Macaca mulatta: one gene and its partner. The protein of the gene in region 2 interacts with the protein of the main gene of each other region in a biochemical or structural test. Links are inferred from orthologs where the notes say so. Each region holds a gene or a part of one and is shown on either strand. Other genes may lie near its edges.

Evidence for each region. The genes of interacting proteins can lie anywhere in the genome.
Region 1: the proteins of RANBP3 (region 2) and RCC1 form a complex in vitro, tested with the Homo sapiens proteins (2 studies listed by BioGRID). The link is inferred for Macaca mulatta from reciprocal best matches to the Homo sapiens genes RANBP3 and RCC1.

The regions. Positions count from the first base shown.
Region 1 is NC_133406.1:212,380,643-212,390,992, forward strand, and holds the start of RCC1 (regulator of chromosome condensation), read right to left. Parts: upstream 5,824-10,350; 5' UTR 5,743-5,823; coding exon 5,677-5,742; intron 1-5,676. UniProt on the Homo sapiens protein: Guanine-nucleotide releasing factor that promotes the exchange of Ran-bound GDP by GTP, and thereby plays an important role in RAN-mediated functions in nuclear import and mitosis.
Region 2 is NC_133424.1:6,854,582-6,864,981, forward strand, and holds the start of RANBP3 (ran-binding protein 3), read right to left. Parts: upstream 5,683-10,400; 5' UTR 5,666-5,682; coding exon 5,644-5,665; intron 1-5,643. UniProt on the Homo sapiens protein: Acts as a cofactor for XPO1/CRM1-mediated nuclear export, perhaps as export complex scaffolding protein. Bound to XPO1/CRM1, stabilizes the XPO1/CRM1-cargo interaction. In the absence of Ran-bound GTP prevents binding of XPO1/CRM1 to the nuclear pore complex.

The sequences.
Region 1 (10,350 bases), on a different chromosome or scaffold from region 2:
GAGCAAGACTCCGCCTCAAAAAAACAAACAAACAAAAAATACAAAATACAAAAAATTAGCTAGGAGAGGTGGCGGGCGTCTGTAGTCCCGGCTACTCGGGAAGCTGAGGCAGGAGAATGGTGTGAACCCGGGAGGCGGAGGTTGCAGTGAACCGAGACCACGCCACTGCACTCCAGCCTGGGCGACACAGCAAGACTCAGTCTCAAAAAAAAAAAAAAAAAAAAAAATTTCTTCTGCCTCCTTCCTCCCCATGCTCCTTAGTAGTCTCTCAGCTTGCCTGGAACTATCTCTCTTCCTCCTTCCCCTAGGAAAGACAGCAACTTGTTGCTGGTCTTCTGGTCCCCACCCTCATCCCCTCATCTCATTCGTGATAAATAAATGTGTGTGTGTGTGTGTATATATATTTTGAGACAGGGTCTCACTCTGTTGCCCAGGCTGTAGTGCAGTAGCACGTACATGGCTCACTGCAACCTCCACCTCCTAGGCTCAAGCGATCCTCCTGCCTCAGCATCCAAGCGTCCAGAGTAGCTGGGACTACAGGCATGTACCACCATGCTTGGCTAATGTGTAATTTTTTTTTTTTTTGTAGAGACAAGGTCTCACTATGTTACCCAGGCTGGTCTCAAACTCCCGGGCTCAAGTGATCCTCCTACCTCGACCTCCCAAAGTGATGGGATTATAGGCGTGAGGTACTGTGCCCGGCCTCATTCATGATCTTTCCAAACCTCAAACCTGAAGCAAGCTGCTGGCCTGCTTGGACTCCTTATTGGTTCCCTTTGCCTGAAAGATAAAGCCCACGTTTCTTAGCATGGTCTTAGAGGTGTCCAACATCAGGTACTGACAGAACCTTTAGCTTCACATCCTATCTACCACATCCTCCCTTCTCTTCCCACACAATCTCCTTGCCAGACCCACTAGGCCAGAATGTTAACTGTCCTCTCCATACTATTTGCATCTCTTTACCTTGAATGCCTTCCCATCCCTTATCCCACTGGAAGAACATCTACTGGTGTCTCAAAGTCATCTCCTCTGATCCCTCCATCCTGAGGATGGAGTCATTCTCTCTGAGAAACTGGGACAGACTTTTAGATCACAATCACTTTAATTTACATGCCTATCCACCACACCAATCAACTTCCTAAAAGCCCCTGGGGGCACCAGTCAACTCACTGTATCTTCCATATGCAAAACCCTTTTACTTCTCACAGGAAGCTGAAGAAGGCAGCACTGTCACTCCTATTTCAGTTAAGGGACTGAGGCTTAGGAAGATAACTTTATTGGCCTAAGTTCACACAGCAAGTAAAGGGGAGCCTAGAAAAACAACCCAGGCCTATCTGACTGATTCTGAAGGCTGACCATGGTCCAGGCAGGGGCTAAGGCAGCCTGGACAGGCCTCCCGAGGATCCCCCACGTGCTTGGCCAAGTCCCAGAAGCAGAGAGCAGAAGCCAGCAGAGAAGGAGAGGACAGTGAGACCAGAGAGGAGACACTGAGGCAGCTGGGGCCTGAGGGAAGGTGGGGTGGGTGGTGACAGATCCGACGACATACAACAGACATGGGGTAGGACAGTGGCAACAACTCCCTGCTGTGGTGGAGACAGCCTGAGTGCTCGTTGAGTCCCAGAGGAGAGGCTTCCTCTCCAAAATGAAGACTTGAGGCCCCGCACTGGGCTGCTGTGAGCAACTGCCAGGGAAGGGCAGGGGATGGAGGGCTACCTTCTTTTTTTTTTTTTTTTTGAGACGGAGTCTGGCTCTGTCGCCCAGGCTGGAGTGCAGTGGCGCGATCTCGGCTCACTGCAAAGCTCCGCCTCCCAGGTTCACACCATTCTCTTGCCTCAGCCTCCCGAGCAGCTGGAACCACAGGCGCCCCCCACCTCGCCCGGCTACTTTTTTGCATTTTTAGTAGAGACGGGGTTTCACTGTGTTAGCCAGGACGGTCTCAATCTCCTGACCTCGATCTCCTGACCTCGTGATCCACCTGCCTCGGTCTCTCAAAGTGTTGGGATTACAGGCGTGAGCCACCGCGCCCGGCCGGAGGGCCACCTTCTAAAAGGTGGAGCCCTGTTCCCGGTACCTGCCTGCACAGCCTCTACTGCACAAACAGGTCTTTTGTACAGACTTCTCTCACTGCTCTGGGTGTGTTTTCCTTTTTCTTCATCTTTTTTTTTTTTTTTTTTTTTTGAGATGGAGCCTTACTCTGTTGCCCAAGCTGGAGTTCAGCAGCACAATCTCAGCTCACTGCAACCTCCGCCTCCCAGGTTCAAGTGATTCTCCTGCCTCAGCCTCCCTAGTGCTGGGACTACAGGCGCATGCCACCACGCCTGGCTAATTGTTCTGTATTTTTAGTAAAGATGGGGTTTCGGCTGGGCGCGGTGGCTCAAGCCTGTAATCCCAGCACTTTGGGAGGCCGAGACGGGCGGATCACAAGGTCAGGAGATCGAGACCATCCTGGCTAACCCGGTGAAACCCCGTCTCTACTAAAAAAATACAAAAAAAAAAAAAAAACTAGCCGGGTGAGGTGGCGAGCGCCTGTAGTCCCAGGTACTCGGGAGGCTGAGGCAGGAGAATGGCGTAAACCCGGGAGGCGGAGCTTGCAGTGAGCCGAGATCCGGCCACTGCACTCCAGCCTGGGCAACAGAGCGAGACTCCGTCTCAAAAAAAAAAAAAAAAAGACGGTGTTTCACCATGTTGGCCAGACGGGTCTTGAACTCTTGAACTCCTGACCTCAGGTGATCTGCCCACCTCAGCCTCCCAAATTGCTGGGGTTACGAGCCTGGGCTCTCTCTCTCTGCCTGTGTTTTCTTTCTTTCTTTCTTTCTTTTTTTTGAGACAGAGTCTTGCTCTGTCGCCCAGGCTGGAGTGCAATGGCGTGATCTCAGCTCACTGCAAGCTCTGCCTCTGAAGTTCATGCCATTCTCCTGCCTCAGCCTCCCAAGTAGCTGGGACTACAGGTGCCTGCCACCACGGCCGGCTAATATTTTGTATTTTTTTTTTTTTCAGTAGAGATGGGGTTTCACCGTGTTAGCCAGGATGGTTTCAATCTCCTGACCTCATGATCCACCCGCCTCGGCCTCCCAAAGTGCTGGGATTACAGGCGTGAGCCACTGCGCCCGGCCTGTGGCTGTTTTCTTAACCTGGCAGTGTCTGGGCTGGGAATAAGGAGTCGGCTTTTAGCATCACGCTTCCCTGCCCAGCCCCACCCAACACAGCTTCCTTCTTCAAGGAGCCTACAGTCTCTGGGAGAAGAGTGAGACAGTCCCAGATAAGTTGGCTACAGAGTCAGCTTCCACCATCAGGCACTCCAGAATGCCCACAGCTGCCCTTTGAGGTGAGCAGATTCATCCCGGTTTTACAGCTAAGGGGAAGATGAGGCTCAGGGAAAGGTGGCCCAGGTCCCACAGAGGTGCAATGAAACCCCAGTCTCATGACCCTGCTCCACCAGAGCCAGAGCTGCCCTACCCCACCTCACTTTCCTTATTTATTGAAGAAAGTGGGTAGGCATGCCAGTCTAAACAGTCTGCCTGGAGTTTGGTGCTCCTGCCCTGACCTCCAGTGACCTCACCACAGCCTCAATTTCTGTAAAAGGAGACAGAGCCCTCCCAGACCACTGCAGCTGTGCCCTCCGTCCCCCACGCCAGGAGGGAGAACTTGCCTGCCAGACTCAGGCTGAAAAATCTCTTTGTGTGAAAGGTCCCCAGGAGGGAAGGGAGGAGAGGGCTCGTGTGTCAACAATATACATTTGGTGAGCTGCTGTTACGTCAGGCACAGAGCTGGTATATTTCACACTAGGAGTTTCTCACTTGGGATCCCCACTGGATACAACCTGTGCTTGGGTCTATGTGTTCATTTTTCCTGGGGGAAGGGACCCACAACTTCCACTAGATGTTGGAATGACTGCTTTATGAAAATTATAGGATATTACTATTTGGGAGGCTGAGACAGGAGAATTGCTTGAACCCGGGAGGTGGCGGCTGCAATGACCGAGAGCACGACACTGCATTCCAGCCTGGGCGATAGAGCAAGATTTCGTATCAGGAAAAAAAAAAAAAAATTGGCCGGGTGCGGTGGCTCACACCCGTAATTCCGGCACTTTGGGAGGCCGAGGCAGGTGGACACCTGAGGTCACGAGTTCGAGACCAGCCTGGCCAACATAGTGAAACACCGTCTCTACTAAAAAAAAAAAAAAAAATACAAAAATTAGCGGGGCCTGGTGGCGCTGTTCCTGTAGTCTCAGCTAGCTACTCGGCAGGCTGAGGCAGAATTGCTTGAACCTGGGAGGCGGAGGTTGCAGTGAGCCGAGATCGCACCACTCCACTCCAGCCTGGGCAATAATTGCGGAAACTCCGTCTCAAAAAAAAAAAAAATTATATCCTCACCACATGCCCCCTACCATTGCTATAAAGATAAGGAAACCAATGCTCTGGGGGACTGGGTGGGTTGCCCAAGGGCATCTGATGAGAAAGTTCTAAAGAGGAACAGAACAGGATTCCTGCTCTTGGGATGTCTTTGAAACAAGAGCCTCGGGAACTCCTAATTCATCTGTCCAGGTTTCACTCTGATGTCCTTCTTGGGGCAATCCTTCCCTGCCTCCTCCACCCCGCAGTGTTCCTTAGTCTTGCACCCAAGACCCTTCATGACCCAGCCCTTGCTGTATCATCTTGTTACTCTCCTCCTCCAGTCACCTCAAGACCTGTGATATCCCTTACCACAATATCTATACTTTCATGCCTTTGCACCTGCAGTCCCTCTGCCTGAATCACCCTAATCCCACTACCCTCAGACTGCCCGAAAAACTCTGTTCCTTCAAAACCCCATTCAAGAGTCACTTCACCTAGAAAGCCATCCCTGAGCCTCCTGGGTAGGGCGGGGGGTCCCCCTGAGGGTTCCCGTAACACCCCACACACTCAACTTTTGCTAGGCCACACAAGTCACACGTGGTCGAAGTTAGGTCAATATGTGATGAATGAAGACTTGGCAGTAGCGTTCGTCGCCCGGGCTCCAGGGCATAGTTCGCTAATGACACGGGCCTGCCCTTCTCACCACTGTCCCCCAGCCCTGCAAGAGCGGCACGGAATAGATGGCCAGCAAATAATTTGCTGACAGATTGAGCTGCTGCGGAGTTCGAGACACACGGCTCCCAAAGGTCCACAGCGGTGCCTGGGTGCCTGCCGACGCTGGGACTTCTCTCGCCGCAGCAGACCCCCAACTACCCACCCTCGAGCTCTGAAGATCCACCCTCTCCCGGGCAGGGCTCCCTGCCAGCTCTGCAAACCGCCTTCTCCAAACGCATGCTGGACAAAACCATTCTCCTCGCGGCAGAGACACATCCCCCGCCCGGGCGGCCGCGCGCACCCGGCCCATCGCGCTCGCGCCGTTTGAATCTCCCGCCTGCGCGGGCGCCGCGGTGCAGGCGTGAGAGGCGCGGCGGCGGAGGGGCAGCGCGGCCCTAGCTCCCGCGAGGCGGGGCCCAGCGGCCGCTGGAGCGCCCCGCGGGGCCGGGGAATCGCGAGCCCGCATCGCGCCTTCCTGCCGCCGGGCTTCACGTGGGGCCAGCGCCGCGCTACACGGGCGAAAGCGGACAGCGACCTAGGCCCGCGTGGACCGGCCCGTGCTCCGGCTGTGGCCGCCCCGCGCACCGCCCTCTGCCCGGACCCTCCGCGCGCCCTGAGCGAGACCTACCTCGGTGCACGTCGGCCACAAGGAACTCCAGCGTTCCCCGCCGGGCCGCGAACTGCCCCAGAGCATGCGCTCTGCAGGCCTCTGGCCCCGACCCGGGCGAGAAAGGAAAACAAAGAGCCCGGCGGCCCCTGGCGGCCATCCCAGGATCTGCATGTGGCGCGCTCACGGGCTGGGGGGAGCTCTTGGCCAGGCTGGCTCCCCTGGCCCGGTTCCAGTGAGTGTGTATTTTGGAAACCCCAAATCGGGACACGTGGACTAACAACCAGAAAGACTCCTTGAATTCGGTCTGTTTAGGAAAATCTCGTGCGGTAGGGTCTGTACGGAGAAAAAAGATATCTTCCCTACCCTCAAGAGGGCATGGAGAAGGATGAAAAATCAGACTATCAGCAACCACACAGCGCTATGACCGTGATACCCACAGGGGCATCTTACTCAGCGCGGGGCTTAAGAACGGCTTTCCAAGTTAAGTCTAGGAGGGCAGGACATCCTAGGAGAAGCGACGTTTGCAATGACAGGGAACCATGAGAACCCAGGGAGGTTGTGGGAAACTGCCAAGTAGATGGGAGCAGAGGGTGCCTGTGGGAGTGACAGATCATGGATGCAGGGTCTTGTGTGTCTAAGGGGTCCAGCCTGTATCCTGAGGCAGTGGAGATATATGAGGATTTGGGCACGGGAATGGCATGATCAGATTTTGTGCCCCGTGAGTTAACATCAGATGGGTATGTGCCCATGTCTTAAGGTTTGAGGGAGGCACATCTCACATGCGTGTGAACACCCAGTCATCATTCTTATGAGCTACAAAAGCATCCCGATATGATCAGATCTTATAGAACAAAATAGAGGATGGACTTGGGGAAAACGGGAGCCAAGTGGGGAAGAGCAAGAGGAACGAGAGAGACCAGATAAAATAGGAGATAAGGGTGTGAGTTGGGGTTGGGTTGGAGATGGAAAACAGGTACCAAGGAAAGGCTGTCTCTTGTTAATACACCCATTCTTCAGGATGGATACAAACAGTTCTTCAGGATTTCAGGTGTTCCCTGAAACCCTTGCAAATGATGTTTTGTTGATTTCACGTTGATTCAGACTCTGAGTCATTCTACTGCACCCAAAGTCTAGATGGACACTTTTGATGAGTTTTTTTTTGTTGTTGTTGTTTTTTTTTGAGACGGAGTCTCGCTCTGTCGCCCAGGCTGGAGTGCAGTGGCGCGATCTCGGCTCACTGCAAGCTCCGCCTCCCGGGTTCACGCCATTCTCCTGCCTCAGCCTCCCGAGTAGCTGGGACTACAGGCGCCCACAACCGCGCCCGGCTAATTTTTTGTATTTTTAGTAGAGACGGGGTTTCACCGTGGTCTCGATCTCCTGACCTTGTGATCCGCCCGCCTCGGCCTCCCAAAGTGCTGGGATTACAGGCGTGAGCCACCGCGCCCGGCCATGATGAGTTCTTACCAACTGAACTTTTTTTTTTTTTTTTTAGACCGAGTCTCGCTCTTGTCAGCCAGGCTGGAGTGCAGTGTTGTGATCTCGGCTCACTGCAACCTCTGCCTGCCGGGTTCAAGCGATTCTCCTGCCTCAGCCTCCTGAATAGCTGGGATTACAGGTGACTGCCACAACACCTGGCTAATTTCTGTATTTTTAGTAGAGACAGGGTTTGGCCATATTGGCCAGGCTGAATTTCTTCTATGCAGGGCCTGCCACAAAGGACTCCCCCGTCTTCAGAGTTTCTTACCTCTCCAAGTTTACCTCTGCCTCCATCATGGACTCCTCTTTTGGATGATGTACTGTGAAATTTCTCCAACTTTTAACCCTGGGATCTCTGATCTCCCTCTCTCTCTCTGCTGTCTTCCTCCAAGATCTTATTCATGTAGCTTCATGTAATAATAATAAATGATGATGATTATTATTGCCTATTTTGTAAGAGCCTTTATTTTGTTAACTACAGAAACATATCCATGTCAGCTCATGTGTTCCTCATGAAAACCTCATGGCAGTTGGAATATAAGAAAACTGAAGTTTAAAGAGGTAAAGCAAGTTTTCTGGGGTCATCGCACAAGTGGTGGAAGGTAACCTGAACTCTTTCTTTGTTTTTTTTTTGACATGGAGTCTCTGTTGCCCAGGCTGGAGTGCAGTGGCGCAATCTCGGCTTACTGCAACTGGGTTCAAGCAATTCTCCTGCCTCAGCCTCCCGAGTAGCTGGGATTATTACAGGTGCTCACCACGACACCCGGCTAATTTTTGTATTTTTAGTAGAGACAGGGTTTCACCGTCTTGGCCAGGCTGGTCTTGAATTCCTGACCTCATGATCCACCCACCTCAGCCTCCCAAAGTGCTGGGATTACAGGCGTGAGCCTCTGCACCCAGCCTTAATTTTTGTACTTTTAGTAGAGATGGGGTTTCTCCATTTTGGCCAGGCTGGTCTCAAACTCCTGACCCACCCAGGCTAGAGTGCTATGGCATGATTTCAGCTTACTGCAATCTCTGCCTCCTGGGTTCAAGCGATTCTCCTGCCTCAGCCTCCCGAGTAGCTGGGATTACAGGTGCCCACCACCATGCCCAGCTAATTTTTGTATTTTTAGTAGAGACAGGGTTTCGCCATGTTGGCCAGGCTGGACTTGAACTCCTAACGTCAGGTGATCCACCCGCCTCGGCCTCCCAAAGGGCTGGGATTACAGGCATGAGCCACTGTGCCTGGCCATTTTTTGTATTTTTAGTAGAGACCAGGTTTCACCATTTTTGCCAGGCTGGTCAGGAACTCCTGACCTCAGGTGACCCGCCCATCTTGGCCTCCCAAAGTGCTGGGATTACAGGCGTGAGCGACTGCACCTGGCATTTATTTATTTTTTAGTTTTGTATTTGTATTTTTTATTTTATTTTGAGATGGAGTCTCATTCTGTTGCCCATGCTGGAGTGCAGTGGTGCAGTCTCGGCTCACTGCAACCTCTGCCCCATGGGTTCAAGCAATTTTCCTGCCTCAGCCTCCGGAATAGCTGGGATTATGGACACGCACCACCATGCTAGGCTCATTTTTGTATTTTTAATAGAGACCGGGTTTCACCATATTGGCCAGGCTGGTCTTGAGCTCTTGACCTCAAGTGATCCACCCACCTTGGCCTCCCAAAGTGCTGGGATTACAGGTGTGAACTACCGCACCCCGCCCCAGTTGTTCTTTTGAGACTAAGTCTCACTCTGTCACCCAGGCTGGAATGCAGTGGCAGATCTCGGCTCACTACAACCTCTGCCTCTCCGGCTCAAAAGATCCTCCTGCTTCAGCCTCCCGAGAAGCTGGGAACACGGATGTGCACCACCATGCCCAGCTAATTTTTTTTTTTTTTTTTTTTGAGACAAAGTCTTACTCTGTTGCCCAGGCTGGAGTATAATGGCATGATCTCGGCTCACTGCAATCTCTGCCTCCTGGGTTCAAGTAATTCTCCTGTTTCAGCCTCCTGAGTAGCTGGGATTACAGGTGTGCACCCGGCTAATTGCCCATCTAATTTTTGTATTTTTGGTAGAGACAGGGTTTCACTATGTTGGCCAGGCTGGTCTTGAACTTCTGAGCATCAGCAGTCAGCCTGCCTTGGCATCCCAAAGTGTTGGGATTACAGGAGTGAGCCACTGCAACCAGCTGATATGGAGGTCCTGGTTGTAATAATGTACTGTGGGTTTTATAACATATATAAAAGTAAAATACATGACAGTATCAAAGACTATATAGTGAGAAATGGAAGAAATATTTTTATTTTTATGTATGTATGTATGTATGTATTTTTTTTTTTGAGACGGAGTCTCACTCTGTGGCCCAGGCTGGAGTGCAGTGGCACGATCTCCGCCCACTGCAAGCTCCGCCCCCAGGGTTCATGCCATTTTCCTGCCTCAGCCTCCTGAGTAACTGGGACTACAGGTGCCTGCCACCACGCATGGCTAATTTTTTTGTATTTTTAGTAGAGACGGGGTTTCACCCTGTTAAGCCAGGATGGTCTCAATCTCCTGACCTTGTGATCCGCCTGCCTCGGCCTCCCAAAGTGCTGGGATTACAGGCGTGAGCCACCGCGCCTGGCCAGAAATATTTTTAAGTGTTTTTTTTTTTTTTATTTTTTTTTTTGAGATGGAGTCACTGTCGCCCAGGCTAGATAGAGTTCAGTGGCGTGTTCTCAGCTCACGGCAACCTCTGCCTCCCGGGTTCAAGCAATTCTCCTGCCTCAGCCTCCTAGTAACTAGGACTACAGGTACGTGCCACCATGCCCGGCTAATTTTTGTGTTTTTAGTAGAGAGGGGGTTTCACCATGTTGGCCAGCCTGGTCTCAAACTCCTGACCTCAGGTGATCCGCCGGTCTCAGCCTCCCAAAATGCTGGGATTACAGGTGTGAGCCACCGGACTCGGCCTTTTTTTTTTTTTTTTTTTTGAGACGGAGTCTCGCTCTGTCGCCTAGGCTGAAGTGCAGTGGCACAATCTCAGCTCACTGCAACCTCTGCTTCTAGGTTCAAGTGATTCTTCTGCCTCAGCCTCCCAGGTAGCTGAGACTACAGGCGAGCACCACCACACCTGGCCAGTTTTGTTTTTTTTTTCATTTTTAGTAGCGGTGGGGTTTCACCATACTGGCCAGGCTGGGGAAGATTCTTATACTACAGGTGAACTGGTTTAATATCAATGGAATGTAAACTATTATAAATTAAAAATGT
Region 2 (10,400 bases):
AGGCCACGTTATTCTCTACTGCGTAGGGGAGAGTCAAAGAGAACACCACTCCACCAGACCCCTTAAAACAGAAAACACCACCACTAGACCCTGAATAGATAATGATGCAAGCCCAGCTGCCTCACGATTGCTTCATAGTACCATGGAGAGCTACCAAATGCCTGGCCAAGCCAATACCAGCCATCTCCGCAGTGCTGTGGTTCTCTGTTAAGTCTTCACAAATGGCACTCTCTTCTCAGAGTCCCCAAATGCATCTCAACTTTCCTCAAATGGCCCTCATCTCCCACTACACTCAGGCCTATTCACTGTCTGAACTCACTTAGGAGGTCAGAATTCAACCCCCCTTCTCCACCCCAAACTCCTCCAAATGCCACTCGAAGCTCACCCCATTCCTGTTGCCTCTGCTCACTCCAACCACCTCAGAGGAGGAGCACACACCAGACCCAGGTTGACTCTAACACCTAATGAATGCACGAGGGTGCCGGGAAAATCCCATTTTCTGGTAAATGGAAAGGCAGCCTGAAGACTTGTTTGAAACGTTTTGCAGAAGTGCAGTGAGGGCTTTCCTGTCTATACGCAGGATCCTGGGCAAAATGGAAAGTCTCTTCAAAGTGTGTAAAAGATTTTGCAGTGTGGACACCCCTCAGGTACCATCAGGCCCCTTCTGCTACAGATACAGGAGGCACAGTGGAGGTGAAAACACACATTCTGCTCTCAGCAAAAATCCCAGAATTAGTTTTTTATCACAGATTCATGAGAAATTTTCCAAAAGTTGTTTAGGATAGGTTCCAACTATTTCAGTTCTAGCTAACCAATACAAATTCAGTTGCAACTCATCCTCTCAGGGGCTAAGTTTTAAGTCAACAAGGTACAAACTGAGAGAAGCCAAACCATCCTCAAAAATCTCTCAACTCTATACCTGGTCAGGCTTTTAAATCAGTGGTTCTCAACTGAAAGCAATTCTGCCCCCCCGGGGGACACTGGTGATGTCTGGAGACACTTCCGTTGTCATGACTGGTAGGGGTGAGGAGGGGGATATGCCATTAGCATTTGGTGGGGTAGAGGCCAGGGATCCTGACTAAGATCCTACAGTGCACAGGGCAGTCGCCCACAACAGAGAAATGCCTGGCCCCAGATGTCTGTAGTGCTGAGGCTGGGATCCCTGGGATCACTAAGTGACAGGCAGGACAGAACTTAGGAGGACCCAGAGCCCAGGCCCTGCTGGTCTCCTGCCAGGGGCTCAGTCCAGGGCCAACTCTGAGTGGGGCAGGTTCACCCACACAATGGAGACTTTGTTGAGCCCTTAAGCTAAATGTGTCTAGAGCAGAGTGCACTGTAGTAAAAACAGCAACCTGAGTGTTTATTACCATGAGCAGAGATTGGTGCTAAATACTGGATTTGCATTAATTCCTTCAGTGCTCACAGCAACCACGAGGTGGGTATGGTTATCATTATTCCCATTTTATTGGTGTGGAAACGGGGGTTCAAAGAGGTTAAGAAATTTGCCCCAAATGACTCAGAGTGGACAGTAGAGTTAAAACACAGACCCAGTTCTCTATAAGGACCGAAGCCTGCGTCCCCACCATCAATACCAGTGAGTCTCTCATCTGGGGGCGATTCTGCAACCTCCCCACCCCCACTCCCCAGGGATGTCAGGAGACTTTTTCTGTTGTCATGATGACCCCGGGAGTGAGGGGAGGTGTGTGCTACTGGCATCTAGTGAGTAGGTTCAAGGATGCTACTGTGCTGCTAAACCTACAATGCACAGGACAGCCCCCCTCCCGCCAACAGAGAACGATCAAAATGTCAGCTGCACCACACAAAGGTGAGAGCCCTGCTTCACACCGTCTCCCGGGTTTCCACCACACATAGTCCACAGGCCAACAGGGCCTTTCATGTCAGGATCTAGAATCCAAGATTCCCTGGAGTTCAAATGTGCTTTGCTCATCCTCTTCCCAGTCTTCTTTACCTTTGCCAGGGACAAAACTCTGCTTTCAAATCCTGATGCTGCCTACAATGCAGAATAACCCCAGAGACAGGATAAGTAATGAGTCTGGAAGGTATCAATGGGGAAATGCCAAGCAGGGGAGACTTATCCCTGGATGCAAGGGTGACACATGCACACACACTCTCTGAGAGGAAAAGCACTCAGGTGGACTTTAAAAGTCACAAACCACAGGAAGGGCTGTGAGAGTTGTTGTCACCATCCATGAGGCGATCACCATAGTGACGAGATCCAACAAGATGCTTTACACAACAGAAAACATTTCGTCATATACAAGCAGAGGACATCTACCCTCTACTACTCAAACCAGAGGGTCTCAACCCTGGCTACGCATGAGAATTACCTGTGCTGCCACCTACACAGAGGCCCAGGGCCCATCCAACACCACAGAGAATCGGAATCTGCAGGGCGTGGGGACTGAGCATCTGTGGCTTCAGGAAAGCTCCCCAGGTGATACTGATGCCCAGCCGTGTGGACAGCCGCTGCTTAGCCTGACACAGAGGTGGGACTGGCCCAGAGAAAAAAGACGGCAAATGGATGGAGGAGGGACATGGTGTGAGGGTGGAGCAACTTAAGATCTCAGTCTGGAAAGACAGAAGCCAAGAGGGCATTTGACTAGAGCTTAAACAGCAAGAGCAAACACATGACCATGGGGCAGTCCCTAAAACTTCAAAAGGCGCAGGCAAGGAGGCCCCACTTTACACAGTGAATACGAAATTAAACATCCTGGCAGGCTGTACAAGCCAAAACCAGAAATGGAGTGTTCAAGAAACACCATGACTGATTAAAGGACTGCAGGAATATGTGAGGCACAAAGTCCACCAAGGTTTGATTTCCTCAAGACAGCGATCCTTGAACTAGTGTCAGGGATAACGTGCTAGGTGAGTGTGGCATTTACTAGGGAAAAAAAGTGAAGTTCAAAACATTCCATTTCTCTCTTTGGCCCTTACCAGTTCAACTATGCCATTTACAACCAACAGCTCACGTGTACCGCATATGCTAGAAAGAGTATCCCCTGGAAAAGGGCAATCCATAATTTTCCCTTTGTGCTCAAATGTATTCCTCACAACAGGGTCCTCACTGGTGAATTCATTCATTCATTCATTCATTCATTCAACCAATATTTCTTGTATACCTACTCTGTGCCAGGCACCGTTCTAGATGCAAGGGGGTAATCAGTGATCATGACATAAAAATCCCTGACCTCATGGAGCGTACACGAGGCAAACATGCAAGTAACATCTAGCATGCTGGATTGTAAGAGCTGTACAGGAAAATCAAGCTAGGTGAACGGAATAGAGAACGTGGATATAATTTGAAATAGGTGGCCAGAGAAGCTCTCATTAATAAAGTAACATATGAGTAAAAACCAGAAGAAGTGAGCCACGGGGGTATCTGGGGGAAAACTGTTTCAGTTAGAGGAATCAGTAGGAGAAAAGGCTAAAAGCGGGGAGTGTATGGAACATTCAAGGAAAACTGAAAAAGCTAGAGTAGTTAGCACAGAGCAAGTCAGCGGAGAGTGGTGAGAGAGAAGGACAGGGAGGCACTGGGGCCCACTATGGGTTGAGAAGTTTTCAGTAGGGTAAGGGTGGAGGGAACAGGGGCCCAAGCATTGACAGTCTTGGTGGGGAGAAGTGGTGGTCCCCCTTTGGAAATAATTTTAAGGTAGAAATGACAGAATTTGCTGTGGAGTATGAGAAAGAGGGAAACCAGGGATGACTCCAAGGTTTGGGGCCTGAGGAATTCAAAGAATGGATCTGCCTAACTACAATGGGTGAAAGACCATGGGATGGGTGGGTGTGGTGGAGATAAGGATTTTTGTTTTGGAAATGCTCCAGACAAGCCTATGACACATCCAAATGGAGATGTCCAAATGTGATGCTGGACATGAGTCCTGAGTTCAAGAAACTATATGGGCTCAGGATGTAAATACATAAAATATGTCATATTGATTCCCACTTACCCATTCCCTCTGTAACTAGATCTCATGAGTTGGAACGCTGCAACCCTCCACGGGCTCCTTTATCTTAAAAAAAGAGATGTAGCAGCTGGGCGCAGTGGCTCACGCCTGTAATTCCAGCACTTTGGGAGGCTGAGGCGGGTGGATCACGAGGTCAGGAGATCAAGACCATCCTGGCCAACATGGTGAAATCCCGTCTCTACTAAAAATACAAAAATTAGCTGGATGTGGTAGCGCGCGCCTGTAATCCCAGATACTCGGGAGGCTGAGGCAGGAGAATCGCTTGAACCCGGGAAGCGGAGATTGCAGTGAGCCGAGATCACATCACTGCACAGCCTGGCAACAGAGCGAGACTCCGTCTCAAAAAATAAAATAGAATAAAATGGCCAAGAATCAGGGAGCCCACCTGTGCTGCTTCCTGTACAGATGCCCAGCGCCCGCCCAACACCACACAGAATCAGAATCTTTAAAAGTCCGAGACCCCGTGGTCTGGCATCTGAAGCCAGGCCACCTTGGTTCACATCCCTGCTCCTTCCCAGCTGTGTGACATGCCTTGGATAAGCGACGTAACCAGGCTGACTTAGTTTCCTCATCAAGTGAATGGGGCTAACAGTATCTATACCTCCTCCCAGGGAAAACAGTATGTCAGGACTTTGCACCTTAACTGGTACTACCCTAAATGCTCCACAAGACCGAGCACTTCCTATCATAATTCATTCATTAGTGCAATTCGGGATGGAAAACTCTCCAGCTACAGGGAGCACCGGATGAGGGAATCAGGGCCAGACAGGTAGAGAGATTGCCTGCATTTGTGCAACTAGAAGAAGGGGGAGCTAAAAATAGGCCTCAGAAGTCCTGAAGCTACAGCCATGGCAACACGACTGTGGATGGAAGCAGACATCAGCCTTACGGTGCCTTCTCGGGGGATCTGGAAGTGTAACCTTGTCAAAAACACTCAGGTGGGCTGTCAGCGCTCCACAGAGGAGGGATTCGCACGGTCTCTGTCTGGAAGCGCAGCAAAAAGGACCAAAAAGCAGCCAGGGCTTTCGGCGGCCCAGATCCTGCGGCGGGGCCTAAATGAGGGGGAGACGAGGCGCCCCGAAGGATCCGGGGGGAACTGGCGGGAAGTGGGGGCCGAAGTTCGGGGCGGGGACGCGGTGAAAACGGCCTGGGCTTCCTCCGGCCGCGGTGTGCGGCTGGTCCGCGGAGGACGAGGGCCTCACGGGCTCAGGAGATAGGCAGCCAGGCCGGGGAAGGGGAGACGTCGGGTGGCGGAGGACGAGGGGGCGGGGAGGGAGCGTGGCGCGCTCCGGGCCACGACCAGGCCCCAAGGTCTATTTACATCTGTGGCCGAAGCACTGGGGCCGCTACTCCCGCCCCCTTCAGCCCCGAGCTTGGCTGCGACGCAGAGGGCCCTTAGGGCTGCGATCTCGACGGCCTCCCGGCTCCTCTAGCCAAACGGCTGCAGGAGCCGAGGCTGCCGGGAGTGATGGGCCGGGCCGGTGAGCCCGACCTGAGGGGAGGCAATAGGGGGCGGCTGCAGGGCCCGCCAGGGTGCTAGCCTGAAGCGGACGAAACCCTTGCACTCTGCGGTGTTCCCCCCACAGGCTTGTGGCCTCTGGTCCTCCCGCTGCCCGTTCCCCGGCCGCCAGCCGGTCCCCGACGGCGCCTCCCCTACCTTCGTTCGCCAGGTCCGCCATTTTACTTCCTTAAGCCCTCCCACAAGGCCCCGCGCCGGCCCAGGCTCGCCTGCTTTCTGCCAGAAACTCCCGCGCGTGCGCACTTAACAAGCCTACTCCCTGTGAGGCGGCCAGCTCGCGCCTGCGCGCTGAGCGCCGCGCGGAGGCGAGCTTCAGATCGCCTGCCGGGCCAAGCCGCCTGCCCTGCGGAGCCGCGCTCCCAACACACGCCTGCGCACGAGCCGTCTCCCGCCTCCTTTTCCCGCCGACTGAGGGGGCGGGGACAGGGCCGGGAAGGGCGCATGCGCAGTGGCAGCGACGAAAGTTTAGTGAGGCGGCGCCGCGCGGCGCGAGGCGGGTCTTGAGGCTCTCGTTTTTCCCGCTCGTTTTCCGGGGATCCCCCGCGGTGGGACAGTGAGCAGTTCAGGACGCCTCAGCCGAGGTCTTCCTCCAGGTAAACCCCCGGGCCTGCGGCGGCTTCCCACACGCGCGGGCGGGAGACGCGTTACCTCCTGCCTCAGTTTACCCGCCTTAGGAGCCGTTACCTTCAGCAAACCCTTTCCTGAAACCACGGGGGAAGTGGCGAGAGGGCGCGGGGTGCTTGGGATTGGGGGGAATCAGAGCTCATCGGCGAGGGCGGGGGTCGTGGTCAGGCGCGAGGAGGGAGCGCAGCCCTGGGACGCAGGTGCTGGCGGGGGGCAGGGGGGACCCGGCGCGTGGAACTCGACCCCTCGGAGCCACGAGAATCAACTTCACAAGCTCATGGGAGGGTGTTGGACCCCGCGCGCCTCCAGGTTCCCCATCTGGAAAATGGGACCATCAGCCTCACTCGCAAGGCTCATGGGAGGGTCCCGGACACCCTGGAGTTGTTTTCTACTCACCTGCTATGAATCTGTCAGCAAATCCTTCGGACCTGGCCTTGCCTCCAAAATACAGCCCAGATCCACGCTTTCTCCCCAGCCAGGCTGTCACCACCCTAGGCCACATCGTCCCTATCTGTCTCATGGAAGACTTGGACAGTCTCATGGAAGACTTGGACTTTGCTGCATTCTTTGGAAGCCCCAGGCTCTGTTCTGCCCATGGCCGCAGGCTGAGGAGTCTTTTAAAAATGTAACCAGCCTGATGCGGTAGCTCACCCCTGTAATCCCAGAACTGTGGGAGGCCAAGGTGGGAGGATCTCTTGAGCTCAGTTCAAACCCAGCCTAGAAAACAGAGCAAGACCCCATCTCTACAAAAACACAAAAATTACCCGGGTGTGGTGGTGCAGGCCAGCTACTCGGGAGGCTGAGGCAGGAGGATCACATGAGCCCAGGAGGTTGAGGCTGCAGTGAGCTATGACAACAGTGCCACTGCCACCATCCTAGGGACAGAGCAAGAACCCCCCCATATATATAGATATAAATACTTTGTTTTTATCTACATACATATATACACACACAGATATATACATACATATGTGTGTATATATTTGTGTGTGTGTGTGTATATATATATACACACATAGACTGAAAACAGAAATATCAAGGCCACTCAGTGCTTCCAGAGGGCTCTCAGCTGAACTTGGAATATCCTAAACCTTTTATTCAGGCTTATGAAGTCCCCTGAACTTGGCTCCCACGCCCCACTTTGTTTCCCCTTGCTCATTGCTGTTCAGCCATGTGGGTCTTTCCGTCCTTGGAGCACAAGCTCATTCCAGCCTAAGGGCCTTTGTACTTGCTGATTTCTCTGCCTGGGACCTTGTATTTCAGGTCTTACCTAGGTTTGAGTCCCAGCTCTGTACCTTTTTGAGTATGATCTAAAAGAGAGTGAGGAGTACTACAATCTGTGGTCCAGATATAGCCTATGAACTAAAAATGGTTCCTCCCTCCCTCCCCTTGTTCCCTCCCTCCTTTTCCTTCCCTTCCCTTTCTTTTATTTATTTTGGAGTCTCTGTTGCCCACGCTGGAGTGCAGTGGTACAATTTTGACTCACTGCAACCTCCGCCTCCCAGGTTCAAGTGATTCTTCTGCCTCAGCCTCCTGAGTAGCTGGGATTACAGCTGTGTGCCGCTATACCCAGCTAATTTTTGTGTTTTTTTATAGAGACAGGGTTTCACCAGGCTGCTCTCGAACTCCTGACCTCAGGTGCTTCACCCACCTTGGCCTCCCAAAGTGCTGGGATTACAGGCATGAGACACCACGCCCTCTGACTTTTTACATTTTTAGCTGGTTGGGAAAAAAAAAATACCAAAAGAAGAATATCTCTTGATGTGAAAATGGTGTGAAATTTACATTTCAGTGTCTGTACATAAAGTTTCATTTGCAAACAGCCATGCTTACTCATTTATATATTATCTCTGGCTACTTTTGAGCTATGACATTAGAGCTATTTACATGGTTGTTATACTTTTCTGAACAGCCAGTGGGATGTGGTAAATATTTAACAACAGCTTCTCTGGAGGAGAATGTATTTGTTAGTATGTATTTATGTGTGTGTATATAGTTTATTGTAAATTTTACTGATTTTTCTATCACTTCCTTAAGACCACAAGACAATTAATAAAACAAATTGAACCCTGATTTGTAGCGTCTGCTGATTTTCTTGGTGTAAATACTTCAGTCATGGCCTATATTAAGTTACTAATGTGATATCACTAATACCAGAGTCTCAGTCTGTTGCCCAGGCAGGAGTGCAGTGGTGTGATCATTACTCACTGCAGCCTCCAATTCCTGCACTCAAGCAACCCACCTGCCTCGGTATCCCAAAGTGGGGGGATTACAGGCGTGAGCCTCTTTGGGAGGCTGAGGCAGGTGGATCACCTGAGATCAGGAGTTCAAGACCATCATGGCCAATGTGGTGAAACCCCTTCTCTACTAAAAATACAAAAATTAGCTGGGTATGGTGGCGGGCACCTGTAATCCTAGCTACTTGGGAGGCTGAGGCAGGAGAATCACTTGAATGCGGGAGACAGTGGCTGGAGTGAGCCGAGATCACACCACTGCACTCCAGCCTGGGCAACACAGTGAGACTGTGTCTCAAAACAAAAACAAAAACAAAAAAACCACAAAGAAATTCTCTAAGAGTAGCTCGAATGTCAGTCCCCCTGGTCGCCCACAGTGTGTAGAACTCAGGTCATCTCTCATTCCTAGGGTGTTGGTCTCATTATTTTCAGGTTTCCCCAAACTTCTCTTGGGTAGGTCTTGGCAGCCTTTACCATATCTGAACGGTGTGACCTTTAATGAACTTGATACTTTTCTTTTGGTTTAAATTTTCATTAAATAGATACTTTGTATCACTGTTTAAAATAGAAAAACCACTAAGCCATGAGTACACCATTGTAAAAGCAAACATGAAAACGAAACAATGTTTTCAAATTCAAAGTAGATACTGTTGCCTATCAAGGTGTTGGGACTGCTTTTTCCTTGATACAAAGGGAGATTAGCAAGTATTAGAGCGTTATTGAAGACGCTTTAGCACTTGGCGGGAACTTTCTCCTTGAAGTGATGAGAAGGAGTGAAGAGAATTGAAAATGGGCTAACATAATCTATGTGATTCATTATCGTTTAACACCATGTCTACATGTCGCCTAAAGTCAGGTCACACACCACATTCATCCCACACTTTGGGAAGCTGGCAGCACCGTGTCATCACTTGCTAAATATTATCCAGTCATGGCTTTTCAGGGGATACTGAGACACGCAAAACCTGTCAGGTCGATGAGCCAAGGACGTTTCCAGTGGTTTCGCAAGCCTCCTCCAAGTGTTGATGGCTGCCAGCTTTCCTTATCTGGCCTCTGGTAGCAAATTAACTTAGTCAACATTCACTTACACAAATATTTCTCAATTGCCTACTGTGGTAGCTTTAAAATATGGTCCCAAATTTGTTGACCCTTTTCCCAGCAAGAGAGGAGGGTGCTCCCTTCCCTTGAATGTAGGTGGGCTTGCTGATCAATAGAGCACAGAAGAAATGACACCGTGTAACTGACAAGGCTAGGACATAACGGACAGAGATACAGCTTCTGCAGCACTGCTGGAACACTCTCTCTGAAAGCTTTTGGCCACCATGTGAGCAGTCCAACTGCCCTGAAGCTGCCATGCTGTAAGGAAGCTGAAACACAGATCTCATGGCAAGGCCCTGGCCAAGAGATGCTCAGCCAACCCCCAACAGCTCCTGTGGCAGCTGCTGACTAATTGCATGAGAGACTCTGAGCCCCCACACAACCACCCAGCCTAGCCCTTCCCATTCCTCACCCACAGAACCTATGTTTGTTTGGTTGGTTGTTTTGAGACGGAGTCTCGCTCAGTCGCCCAGGCTGGAGTGCAGTGGCGTGATCTCGGCTCACTGCAAGCTCCACCTCCTGGGTTCACACCATTCTCCTGCCTCAGCCTCCTGAGTAGCTGGGACTACAGGCGCCCGCCACCGCGCCCGGCTAATTTTTTGTATTTTTAGTAGAGACGGGGTTTCACCGTGTTAGCCAGGATGGTCTCTATCTTCTGACCTCGTGATCCACCTGCCTCGGCCTCCCAAAGTGCTGGGATTACAGGCGTGAGCCACCACGCCCGGCCAGAAACTATGAAAGATAAATACTTGCTGTTATCAGCCACTAAACTCTGGGGATGTTCGTTACGCAGCATTATGTATCTACCATAGCTACGAAGCATCAGGCAATGTTGGGTTCCCAGGATGAACTAGACAGGCCCTGCTTTCATGGAGCTTTGCATCCTTTTGTGGAGAGACTTTAACAGTAGACAGGTAAGCAAAATTACTTGAGATAGTG